Coturnix japonica: one gene and its partners. Each later gene encodes a partner of the first gene's protein in a complex. Links are inferred from orthologs where the notes say so. Each region holds a gene or a part of one and is shown on either strand. Other genes may lie near its edges.

Region 1 (3,651 bases):
CCCTGGGCAACCTGTGCCAGTGCTTCACTGCTCCTTTCGTAAAAACATTTTTCTTGTATCCAATCTAAAACTTGTGCAGAGCAGAGGGGCAGGATCCCCTCCCTTGCCTGCTGGCCACGCTTCTTTTGATGCAGCGCACGTTGGCTTTCTGGCCTGTGAGGGAACATTGCTGGCTCATGTACAGCTTCACATCCACCCAAGTCTTTTTCTGCAGGGCTGTGCCCCACCTTTACACCCTCCAGCCTGTACTGACAGCAGGGGTTGCCATGACTCAGGTACAAGACCTTGCACTTGGATTTGTTGAAGCTCACAGGGTTCAGCTGGGCACACTGTTCAAGCCTGTCCAGGTTCCTCTGATGGCATCTTGCCCCTCGGGCAGGTCAGCTGTACCACACAGCCTGGTGTCATCCACACACTTACTAAGGGTGCAAAAGTGTGATTCAGGACATCCTGGTTAAAACACTTGCTAAGACTGTTCTGACACCAGTCAGAACAGAACTTGGAAACTGTGTGTCGCATGTGGCCATATTAGAGGAACTGAGAAAATTACAGAAGCTGACTGAGGTCTTTAACTCCTTTCTTCTAAACAGGCTCAGACTCAGAACACTGGGCTCTTTCCCACTCATCTAAAGAGCTCGCTTTCCAGTGGTTTATAACCTTTCAGAAAAGAACTAATCCAACAGTGTATTATTCCTGTTTAACTACCAATTCACCAGTAGGAGCCATCACCTTCAGTGCACATCCTGTCTTCTTCAAAGCCTTTTATTTTTTCTTTAAGGTGTTGCAATTTTCTGGACTATTCCAGACACAGAACCTGTCGCTAACTTAACACACACCTCCACCTTTCCCACCTAAGCAACTCGATCTTTATTTCCTTTTTTCAACCTGTAAGCCACAAAATTCCTTCTAAACACTTGGTGACTTATCAGCTCTAACAGTTTCCATTAGACAACATTTAATCACTAAAAAAATGTTTAAACTAATTGCAGACCCTCTGTCTTCAGCTTGTCATTTCTCCAGTTTCACCCAAGAACTTCTTGACTATTCCAAAGTATAAGTTGAAATCTTGCTTATGTTTTCACATTTATTTTCATTTCCTGCATTTGTTTTTTTTCAAGCACTGTAACCATATCACATGCTTTAAACATGACATTTTAAAATGTTTTATATGACATTTAATGAAAAAAAAAAGTGTGTTTTGCAGACAGATGCATCCTCAAGCAACAATGCAGAGTCATACTACACAACAAATAAGGGCTGCATACACCATATTTGTGGTTACAAATGAAGTCACTTGAAGAAAGGGAGGAAAACTGATCCTCTCAAGCTTTCAAATGACAAGGAATGACAAAGCTGTGCACACGCGAGACTTCAACAGATCCATCTTAAGAAATACATTTTCTGTCAGTTTGGAGAATTGGCAGGTTCCTCCAGTCTCTAAGAACATCTCTGATTTATTGATGAGCCATATCACTGACCTTAAAACAAACACATTAGTAGAACAGTTTGAATGAAGCAGTTTATCAGGGAACCAGATCACCGAGTTGGAACCAGCTGTTTTTTAAAAGTCGTGGTTCAGCTTCTCTACTACTAGTAACAGAGATCATACAATAAATGGTCCAGCAGTACTATTTGAATGACTGTGATCTGATCTAAGGGATTGCAAGAGGTAGCTGGAAATGCTAACTGCCACATACCTACACTAGGCCATCCATTATGGATACTAGCAGACCTACAGGGAAACCATCACAGTATCTCTATGAAATAATGTGTTTGGAGGAATTACGCTGGATGCACGATAGTGTTCACCAGGATATATCTGATATTCGAAACCAGCATCATTTCTAGAAAAATTAAATTATCCAATTTATTGACTTCTCCCTTCAAACTGAACCACCATCATAACACGAAGTAGTTATCTTAAGCAGTTAAGACTTTGCATGCTTCCTTACTATACAAATGTTTTCAATAAAGCTGTGCAATCACATGCATAATGCATGTCCTGGAGACAAGGAGGCTGCCATCTTTCCTCCTGCAATATACATATGCATTCTGCAGACCTTTGCAACAACCACTTTTACCATTATTTCAAAAAATTCCTAGAAAAAATGATGCGACAGTCTGTCCTGGATACTCTCTTTGGTTTTTTTTCCCCCTTTACATGAGTATTTACACATTTAAAGAGAATAGGTCCCATCTTCTTCATGACACAGCTGATTGATGAACAGCTGCTATTATCGCTAATATATTCAAGCAAACAGTTTTGGTCTCACAGCAAGGCAGGATTCATCTGCTAACTTAGCAACTTTCTTCTTGCACACAAAGACATAATACAGTCTTGCAATAGAAGCATAATTGCTCAAGATTCAATTTGAGTAAACACACTACACTGCTGCACACTGTTCTGTCAGCATGTTTCTGACTCTCAGAATCCTTATTTGAAAGACTAATAGAATACAAGTATTAATAAAATGACAATAAAACCTAACATGTGTAGTAGCTACCTTAGACCTATATGATGGGCCAGCAAGCCTCTGAACACCTTACCTTTCTTAGAAAAGATCAGTTGTGAGAGATGATGTGCAAGTGACTGAAGCGCTGAGGCTCCTCCAAGGCAATCCACATCTGACACCAACAAAATGCTATGAAGACATGTTAAAGCTCTACACTGCACTGTGTTCAGTCTGAAACGAAAACAAAAGATGCACTTAGCAGACCTTTGTAAATAAATGCAGAAATACAGAGAAGGATCTTGAGTTAAGTAAGGGTGTGATCTGGTGTGTGGTTTACCCAAAGACTTGCATCCCTTCATTGAAAAATGAAGCATCAAGATCTGCCATTTTCCAGATCTTAAAAGTAACCCAAAGATGACCAGTCCCTCTAACAGCTCTAAAACAACTGAGTATGTATGAAAAATAGTAAGAGAGACAATGAAATTCCTACTTTTTAATTAACGGCTTCCAAGACGGATTGTGCATACAGATGTCTAGAGCAACACTGTTCGGAAAAGCAGTTTTTTCAAGAATCTGGGGAGGCAAAAAAGAAAGGTTTAGCAAGAAGGCTTTTGTTTTTCTTCTCTAAAGCATGGGGATGGGAAGACCGAATTTTTAGCTTAATGTCAAACAGATACCTCGAGTAAATGTATTTCATACTTGACTGTCCTCAAAACAAAGTCTTACATGCTAAAATTGTCAGAATCTTCCTCAATCACTCAAAAGTGAAGCAGTCAAACACAGGTTTAGCGCAGTGTTTTTTAAGTGAGTAACTGTGCTGTGCATCAGGTGATTTCCTTCATCTCTACTATTCTTCCTCATTTTTGTTTTTTCTAAATCTTTCTTCTCACAGACTCCATTACAGAATTTTCAGATAGTTACAAATCTAAAAGACCTTAACATGAAGCTTAGACTGCCTGTTATTGAGTACAAAAAGCCCTGAATGTTTTCACCTCAAGTGAATGCTGAATCACCCTAATAACTGGGTTGAGATAGGGAATTTTATCTTTACAACCCCAATTAGCAATGACCAAAATGATTCTGCAACAAGAACAACTTAATTCTTGTCAGTGTCAGATATTGTACTTCAGACACCATGTATTAAGCAGGGTAAAAGAGGAACGTGCTTTTTTTCAGTGCTGACTACTGTAATTCACAC
Region 2 (3,396 bases), on another chromosome or scaffold:
ACCTAAATCTTCCCTCTTTTAACTTAAAACCATTTCCCCGTGTCAGCCCTTTCAAAGAGTTTACTCCCTTCCTGGGAGTAAGTTCCCTTCAGGTATTGAAAGGCTGCAATGAGGTCACCCCACAACCTTCTCTTCTCCAGGCTGAACAAACCCAACTTTCTCAGCCTGTCCTCATAGGGGAGGTGCTCCAGCCCCCTGATCACCTTCGTGGCCCTCCTCTGGACCCTTTCCAAAATCTCCATATCTTTTTTGTACTGAGGGCTCCACACCTGGACACAGTACTCCAGATGGGGCCTCACAAGAGCAGAGTAGAGAGGGACGATCACCTCCCTATCCCTGCTGACCACCCCTCTCCTGATGGAGCCCAGGATCCCATTTGCTTTCCGGGCCGCCAGAGCGCACTGCTGGCTCATGTTAAGTCTTTCGTCCATCAGGACCCCCAGGTCCTTCTCTGCTGAGCTGCTCTCAAGGACCACTCCTCAAGGACCTCCCCATTGCAGAACACAGGAGCTGCTGCCCAGCCACCCCCAAGCCCTCCCACAGGAGCCGTGCACAAGACATTTCAAACACCAAAATGTGTTTATTGACAGAGGTGCGGGCTGCACAGCGGTGGATGTGGAGCAGTCCCTTTGCACCCCTCGCATACAGTCCCTCAGTGCCCACGGCGCTGTTCCCTTTGCAGCCTGCATGCAGACAGTCCCTCACGCCTTCTTCCTCCTGCCACCGCCCCCCGCTGGCTGCTGCTGCCGTCGGGCCGCGCCGCCCTTCTTGCCGCCTCCGCTCCTCTTCCCGGGCCGCTGCTGCCGGCGGCCCCGCTTTCCACGCTGTCCCCGCTTCTTGCCCTTGGCGGCGGCCGCCTCGGCATCCTCCTCGCGGAGCTGCTTGTTGACGGCGCGGGTGATGTCCAGTGCCGGCTTCTTGCTGTTCATGCCCCGCAGCAGCTCCAGCTGCCGCCCGCGCTCGGCCGCCAGGTCTCCCAGCAGCGGCTGGAAGCGCCGTTTCTTGCCGCCGTCGCGGGAGGGCGGCTCCGCCGGCTCCTTGGGCAGCCGCGGCTGGAAGCGGCCGAGCGAGGCGGTGGAGACGCGGGCCACGCGCGATACCAGGCCCAGCTCCTGCCGGCTCTGGTGGCCCGTAGGGTGCAGCGGGGCGGCGGCGGCGGGGCGGTGCGCTCGGGCCAGGTTCCGCAGCCGGTTGAGCTCGTTGCGGGCCACCCGCTCCCTCTTGGCGTGCCGCAGCTTGGCGAACTGGTCCTCGTTCGGGTCTGCGCCCGCCGGCACCTCCGCCAACCAGGCGCGGGCCGGGTCGCCGCCCGCCCGCCGGTACCCCCAGCGCCGCCGCCACTCCTTGGCCTCCTCGTCCCACACCAGCGAGGTCCGCTTGCGGCGCCGGATGCCCTTCAGCCGGGCGAACTGCTCCCAGCGCGTGGGGGGCCGCGGGCGAGGCGGCGGCTTCTCCCGGGGCAGGCGGAACGCGGGCTCGGGCAGCCGCGCCACCAGCGGCCCCGCCGCCCCGTCCGCCCGCTCGGCCGGCAGCTCCCACAGCCGCGCCGCCAACAGCTGCGCGTTGTCCCGGGCCAGCGCCCGCAGCCGCGACTCCCGCTGCGGCCCGGCCCCGCGTAGCGCCGCGGCGGGAGGCGGGTTGGGGTCCAGCGCCAGCAGGTTGCCCAGGTCGAACTCCAGCTCCAGCTCCTTCTCCACCTGCACGCTCCGCGCCTGCTGCTGCTCCTGGGCCGCCGCCGCCGCCAGCACCTCCTCCACTCGCACGGCCGCCATGGTGGCGGACCGCGTGTGGCCGCCCGAGCGCAGGAAGCGCGGCGCAGCAATACGGGTCAGTGCGACGGAACTGCGTACAGAGCCCGGAATGACGGGAAATGTAGGCTGCACAGATACGGGCCTCAGCGCCCCATGGGAGATGTAGTACACCATGCCGGGCACAGCGGCTTCCACAGTCCCTCAGCCCGCTGTGTGGTGGTTGCCACAGTCCTTCGCCCCGCTGTGTGGTGGTTGCCAAGCAGGCATTGCATTTAGCCCCAGCATGGGACAGGGCTGGAGTGAGGGTCTGTGAAAGTCAGGTGTTGCTGCCCCGTGGTATCACGGAAGGCCAGGGCTGTGACTGAATGTGCAGCATCCAGGGTGAGCAAACGGCCTCACAGCTCTGCCAGCCACTGTGGGTGGTGTGTGTGATAGCACGCAAACATCAAGCAGGTTTAAGACTCACAGATTTGTAAATAATATAGATACATTTCTTTCACAGCATAAATTTCCATAACATTCAGGTGCCCGCAGCACTGCGGCACAGCCATGTCTAAAAGTTCTAGCCGCAGAACCAAAATTCAAGTCCCATATAGTCCTCCCCAGGTGCCCAGGGAGGTTGTGGATGCCCCGTCCTTGGAGGTGTTCAAGACCAGGTTGGACGGGGCCCTGGGCAACCTGATCTAGTAAATGTGTATGTTTGGTGGCCCTGCCAGGCAGGGGGGTTGGAACTACATGATCCTTGAGGTCCCTTCCAACCCGGGTCATTCTGTGATTCTGTGATATTCCAGCCCCACTAGGACTGACAGTGACCCTGAGGGCAGGGCTGTTGGTGAAGGAAGAAGGGGAACAGCATTTGGATAGTGGGATTGGCAGGTGCCTCATGAAGCACAGTGAAAAGTGAGGTGACACCGTGCACCCAAAGGTTGTCTGGGTCAGAGATATTGCCATGCTATTTTTAAATAAATGAGGTCTGGAAGGATCCTTTTACAGGGATGTGGCCTGCATGGCCATGACATTTCGAGCTGACTCATGTACCCTCAAAACAAGCTAAAGGGGGCGTCTAGTTGTGGCCAAGGAAGTTATGGGAATTTTTACACAAGATACACATTTCTACTAAGCTAAATCACATCTCTACGGATACATAATGTCTGCAGTGACGGAAATGACTCTAACGGCAGAGCAGTGTTTTGGGGAAGTAAATAAAATGCTAGGCTTGTAAATAGAGATGAATGTACTTATAATTCTAACTGTGATAAAGTCTCGTTTTTTTCCACTCCCAAGTCAACAATTCTGAGTGTGTTTTGTACACTATGGAAGAATTGGAGCAGATGACGCATACCTTTTCTCCTTTTACCACAAGATGGCATTGCACTGGAGGCTATGCTCTTTCTTGGACCTCGTTATTTTTTCACCTAGAATTACAGATGAAATTAACTTTAAAGATGCGTCTTTGAAGGGATGTATGTGCACTATTAGATGAGATTCAAGCATACGTCTGTACTTTTGAATGGCAGTCTGGTCAATACCTACCTGCTGATCCTTGTGCTCTCCTGAGTTTTGTTCTTATGCAGTGAACTCTGAGTTCTTTTGGTTAATATTTGTTCAAAGCCCCAAAGCGTTCATATAAATGACTAGGAGTGGA
Region 3 (3,651 bases), on another chromosome or scaffold:
CTTCACATACCACAAAATAAAACACGGTAGAGATCCTTAAGATCAGCAAAAATACTAACTTACCTTTGCTCCTTCCATTCTGGGCACAAATCAAGCATCAAAGATCAAAATTCCAACTGTAAAGGTTTCATTTATGCCTAAAGCAAACATCAGGTACTTTGCTACCATGGTGATGAACACCGCGAAAACACCTTAATCACTTCTCATTCTGCAAATGGTAAGGAGGGCTTGGTGCAAGTAATCTGGCATTAGACACGTGTCACGAGTTCATACTTTAGAAAATGGTTTGGAGTTTATTAAAGTATTGCAGTTGTGCATAAACTGAAACACATCAGCAGTAAATGAACGCAGAAGTCATGTTGCACATATTATGTGTACACACTATGCTGGTCCTGCAAGGAGTTCATAAGATAGGTTGACTGATCAAGGTTTCCCAACATTGTAACCATAAAACTGTTCGGGAAATGAGTCACCTGCTTAACTAGCACATGTTTGCTCATATCAAGAGAATAAATATTCAGCTTTGGAAAACTAAACATGTTACATCTTGTGGTTTCCCCCCTCCCCTTCTAAATAAGCAGGCTCTAAGCTAGAGCTCAATAACTCAAGGCTCCCTTCAGAATGACAAATCATAAATTTTTGTGAGATTTTTTAATATAAAACTAAACATAAAGGCAGCCAAATCCTTTATGTTTGCCACTTTTATATTATAATTTACATTTAAAAACATTAAGATACAAATAGCTTTCCAAGTTGTTCCAGGCCATCACCCAGATTTTGTCTTTTTAGGACTAACACCACCATCTTCAGCTGACTTCTCTGCTGGTCTCTTTTTTAACCCCTTCATTTTTCTTGTCTGCAGTTTACTAAGATCTTGTTTCTGCATGTGGATCCGACCATAAGTTGTACCAAACACATCATGGGAGATGTTCTTTTTCTTCTTAGGCTGTAAGGGAAGAACGGCATTAGTACTTCTGAGTACAGAGTGTGCTTGTAGCTGTGGTGAGAAGCCAGGCGTGTCTGCCTGTACCATCATCACCAATAAACCACCAAATCAAGTGCCTAAAACCACACATGCATATGATCCCAAGGGATTTACCTTTAGGGCTTTGGGTTGTTTTAAAGATAACTTATAAAGGTCATCTGAAGCTAAATGTGTTCTCCTCATAACCAAATCTAACGAAGGTCCGATATCTTCCAGTTCAATTCTTGGTATTTTACAGCCAGATTTCTTCAGAAGCACCCTAGAAGGAAAGAACAAAAGCAACCAACATTGTCCTTTGGGACAAATATTTATCTGCCTTCCTAAAGGGCAGTTTCAATCTTGCAATTGGGAAGATTATTAAAAACAAACTGCTACTGCTAATTCTATTATTGAGAAAGTTGTCAATAAATTTATAATTAATTTCCATCACAACATGAACACACTGAAAATATGATCTCTTTAGCTTTTGTATTTTAAATGGGATTAGAACTCTCATTACAACTCTTAACATTCAATTACACTACCCTAAAAAGCCACACCATTCCAGAAATTCAAAACAGTGCCCTGTGTATTAACAAACAGGGAAAGTACATATACTGCAGTTTACAGCAAAACACTCTGAGCCCTAGGCAAAAAGTCTGCCTTTTCTATTGGTGCTGTTTTGCTGTGTGTGTACTGTTTTTTGTTTCTTTAAGAAAGAGATTGTTGTTACAGGAGAAATCAAAGTTGCACAGAATACATGGGCTTTCAGCACTTGCAGCCCACAGAGGAAAGGCCATGAACTGTGAGAGCAAATGCCAGGTCAGGAAGATGATCTTGTTCTGCACATTCCTGTTTTCCCTTCTGTATCTCTGACTACAGTGTACTGCCTGCTGTTCTTCAACAGAGTCCTACGACATCAGCCTGACATCAGACTAAGTCTGTGAAGTCTAAAAAGATACTCCAAATTCACCAGTTCCCCAAGTCTAATTTGCAACACATTACCAGTCCAACCATGAGAGAACAGTCCTCCTAGCTAGAAGGAAGAGGAATGAACAAAGAAGGAATGAACACCTTTAGGTCTTAAGTGCTTTCCTTCTGCCACACAAGTTACTCTGAGTTACAGCAGAACACCTCTACATACCATATGTTTTAAATGCAGTTCGCTACTGCTCCAGGCAGTTTAATTACAGAATTACAGGCTAAAATTTGGGAGAGCTTGACAAGTCTACCAGAAAACCAAACATGGATAAAATACACACTCACTTGTAGCTCCTCATGTAAATTTTGCCATCGACAGCTGTGAAATGCAGAACATGTTCTAACCCAGCCAGACGAATGTTGGACACAGTGGGACCTCTGAAGAAATCTGAAAAGATATTTAAAAGTAAGTGTCTGATTCCTTGACTGAAAACAAAGCCAGGAAATGACTGTAACAAATGGCTCACATCATAATGGAGCCATATGATGGAAGCAATATAAACTCCTTGTCTCTGTAGAGATTCTCTTCTGGCATCAAAAAGGGTCTTTGCACAACCAAGTGCATGTAGGAATCCTGAGAGGAACACTTCCCAGAGTTAATTCAGAAGCAATATTCATATATGGGACCTAAGCCCAAGTGCATGGACAAGAACAAATACCCTTTCAGAGCAGTAATTCTGTTTTAGCAATCTGACTGGGATAGCAAAACAGTCTATTCCTCTACATTTTTTAGCTACAAGGTCTTTAAACACACACTGTTTTATGTTTAGGCCAGTTCACATTCAGCTAAGCAGATTAGTACAGAGAAGCCATTTATTCAGATGCCTTTTTAAGACAGCACTCAAGACTCTTAATCAGAGTCAGACTTGGAAGAGCATAAAGAAGCGATAAAGACTTGTACAAAACAGAACAGAACTATTTTGTTTAATCTTATCTACCTTCCCCTCCCAGTGACTTGGGCAAGAAAGGTTTTGGTATGTAAATTCCTTCGTGCCTCCCCCACAATAAAGCACTTAAGTTCTTTGAGTAAGAGAGATTTGTCATTACAATTAATACTTTCTCTATTTAATAAGCAAAACACACCTATAGAAAATAAACACCAGAAATACTTGCTTAGTTTGCAAACAGAACGCCGAAAGACAGGTTAAATACCAAATAAACCATCCCCAGACAGCTTTTCACATGAGACTATGAAAAATACTGTGCAACCAGTGCCTGAAATAAGCACAGCAATCTGCCCAACAGATGCAGGGGGTGGAAAAAAGAATGTGACCTTGACTGAGGGAACAAGGTGTGCTAATAAACACGGCAGGGCAATGCTGAAAGACAGGAGAACCACTAACAGATGCAAAACACATCAGTCTCTTTCGTTCTGTCCCGTTTCAGGTTTCTCAGCTGGTTGTCTTTTCCTCCACTACCTTTTTCAAGAGGTATCAGCATCAGAATGACATCCAAAACAAAGTCTTGCTGGCATGTATCAGCTGGAGTCTAGCCAGCAATTTCCTTGGTCAGTTAAATACTCTCACTCCTCCCTCCTGGGTTGAATTTATAGCTACTAACAAGAAGTTGCAAATAAAATCCTTAGTCCAATTTTGCACATATTTTTCCCTTTGACTCGCTCTCTGTGGGTTCACAAGTGAACATTTACAGCGCTTTTACTGGCAACACTTCTCTTTGTGTCTTCCTGTGGCATCAGATCCTTTTAC

What was found.
Region 2: HEATR3 (region 1) and RRS1 share a complex: the UniProt entries of both Homo sapiens proteins name them as parts of the hexameric 5S RNP precursor complex. The link is inferred for Coturnix japonica from reciprocal best matches to the Homo sapiens genes HEATR3 and RRS1.
Region 3: HEATR3 (region 1) and RPF2 share a complex: the UniProt entries of both Homo sapiens proteins name them as parts of the hexameric 5S RNP precursor complex. The link is inferred for Coturnix japonica from reciprocal best matches to the Homo sapiens genes HEATR3 and RPF2.

What each region holds. Positions count from the first base shown.
Region 1 is NC_029526.1:5,553,376-5,557,026, forward strand, and holds part of HEATR3 (HEAT repeat-containing protein 3), read right to left. Parts: intron 3,027-3,651; coding exon 2,944-3,026; intron 2,685-2,943; coding exon 2,548-2,684; intron 1-2,547. UniProt on the Homo sapiens protein: Plays a role in ribosome biogenesis and in nuclear import of the 60S ribosomal protein L5/large ribosomal subunit protein uL18 (RPL5). Required for proper erythrocyte maturation.
Region 2 is NC_029517.1:104,230,262-104,233,657, reverse strand, and holds RRS1 (ribosome biogenesis regulatory protein homolog), read right to left. Parts: upstream 1,840-3,396; 5' UTR 1,773-1,839; coding exon 702-1,772; 3' UTR 561-701; downstream 1-560. UniProt on the Homo sapiens protein: Involved in ribosomal large subunit assembly. May regulate the localization of the 5S RNP/5S ribonucleoprotein particle to the nucleolus.
Region 3 is NC_029518.1:60,331,260-60,334,910, forward strand, and holds the end of RPF2 (ribosome production factor 2 homolog), read right to left. Parts: exon of another isoform or gene 3,332-3,651; intron 2,334-3,331; coding exon 2,231-2,333; intron 1,245-2,230; coding exon 1,100-1,244; intron 947-1,099; coding exon 767-946; 3' UTR 264-766; downstream 1-263. UniProt on the Homo sapiens protein: Involved in ribosomal large subunit assembly. May regulate the localization of the 5S RNP/5S ribonucleoprotein particle to the nucleolus.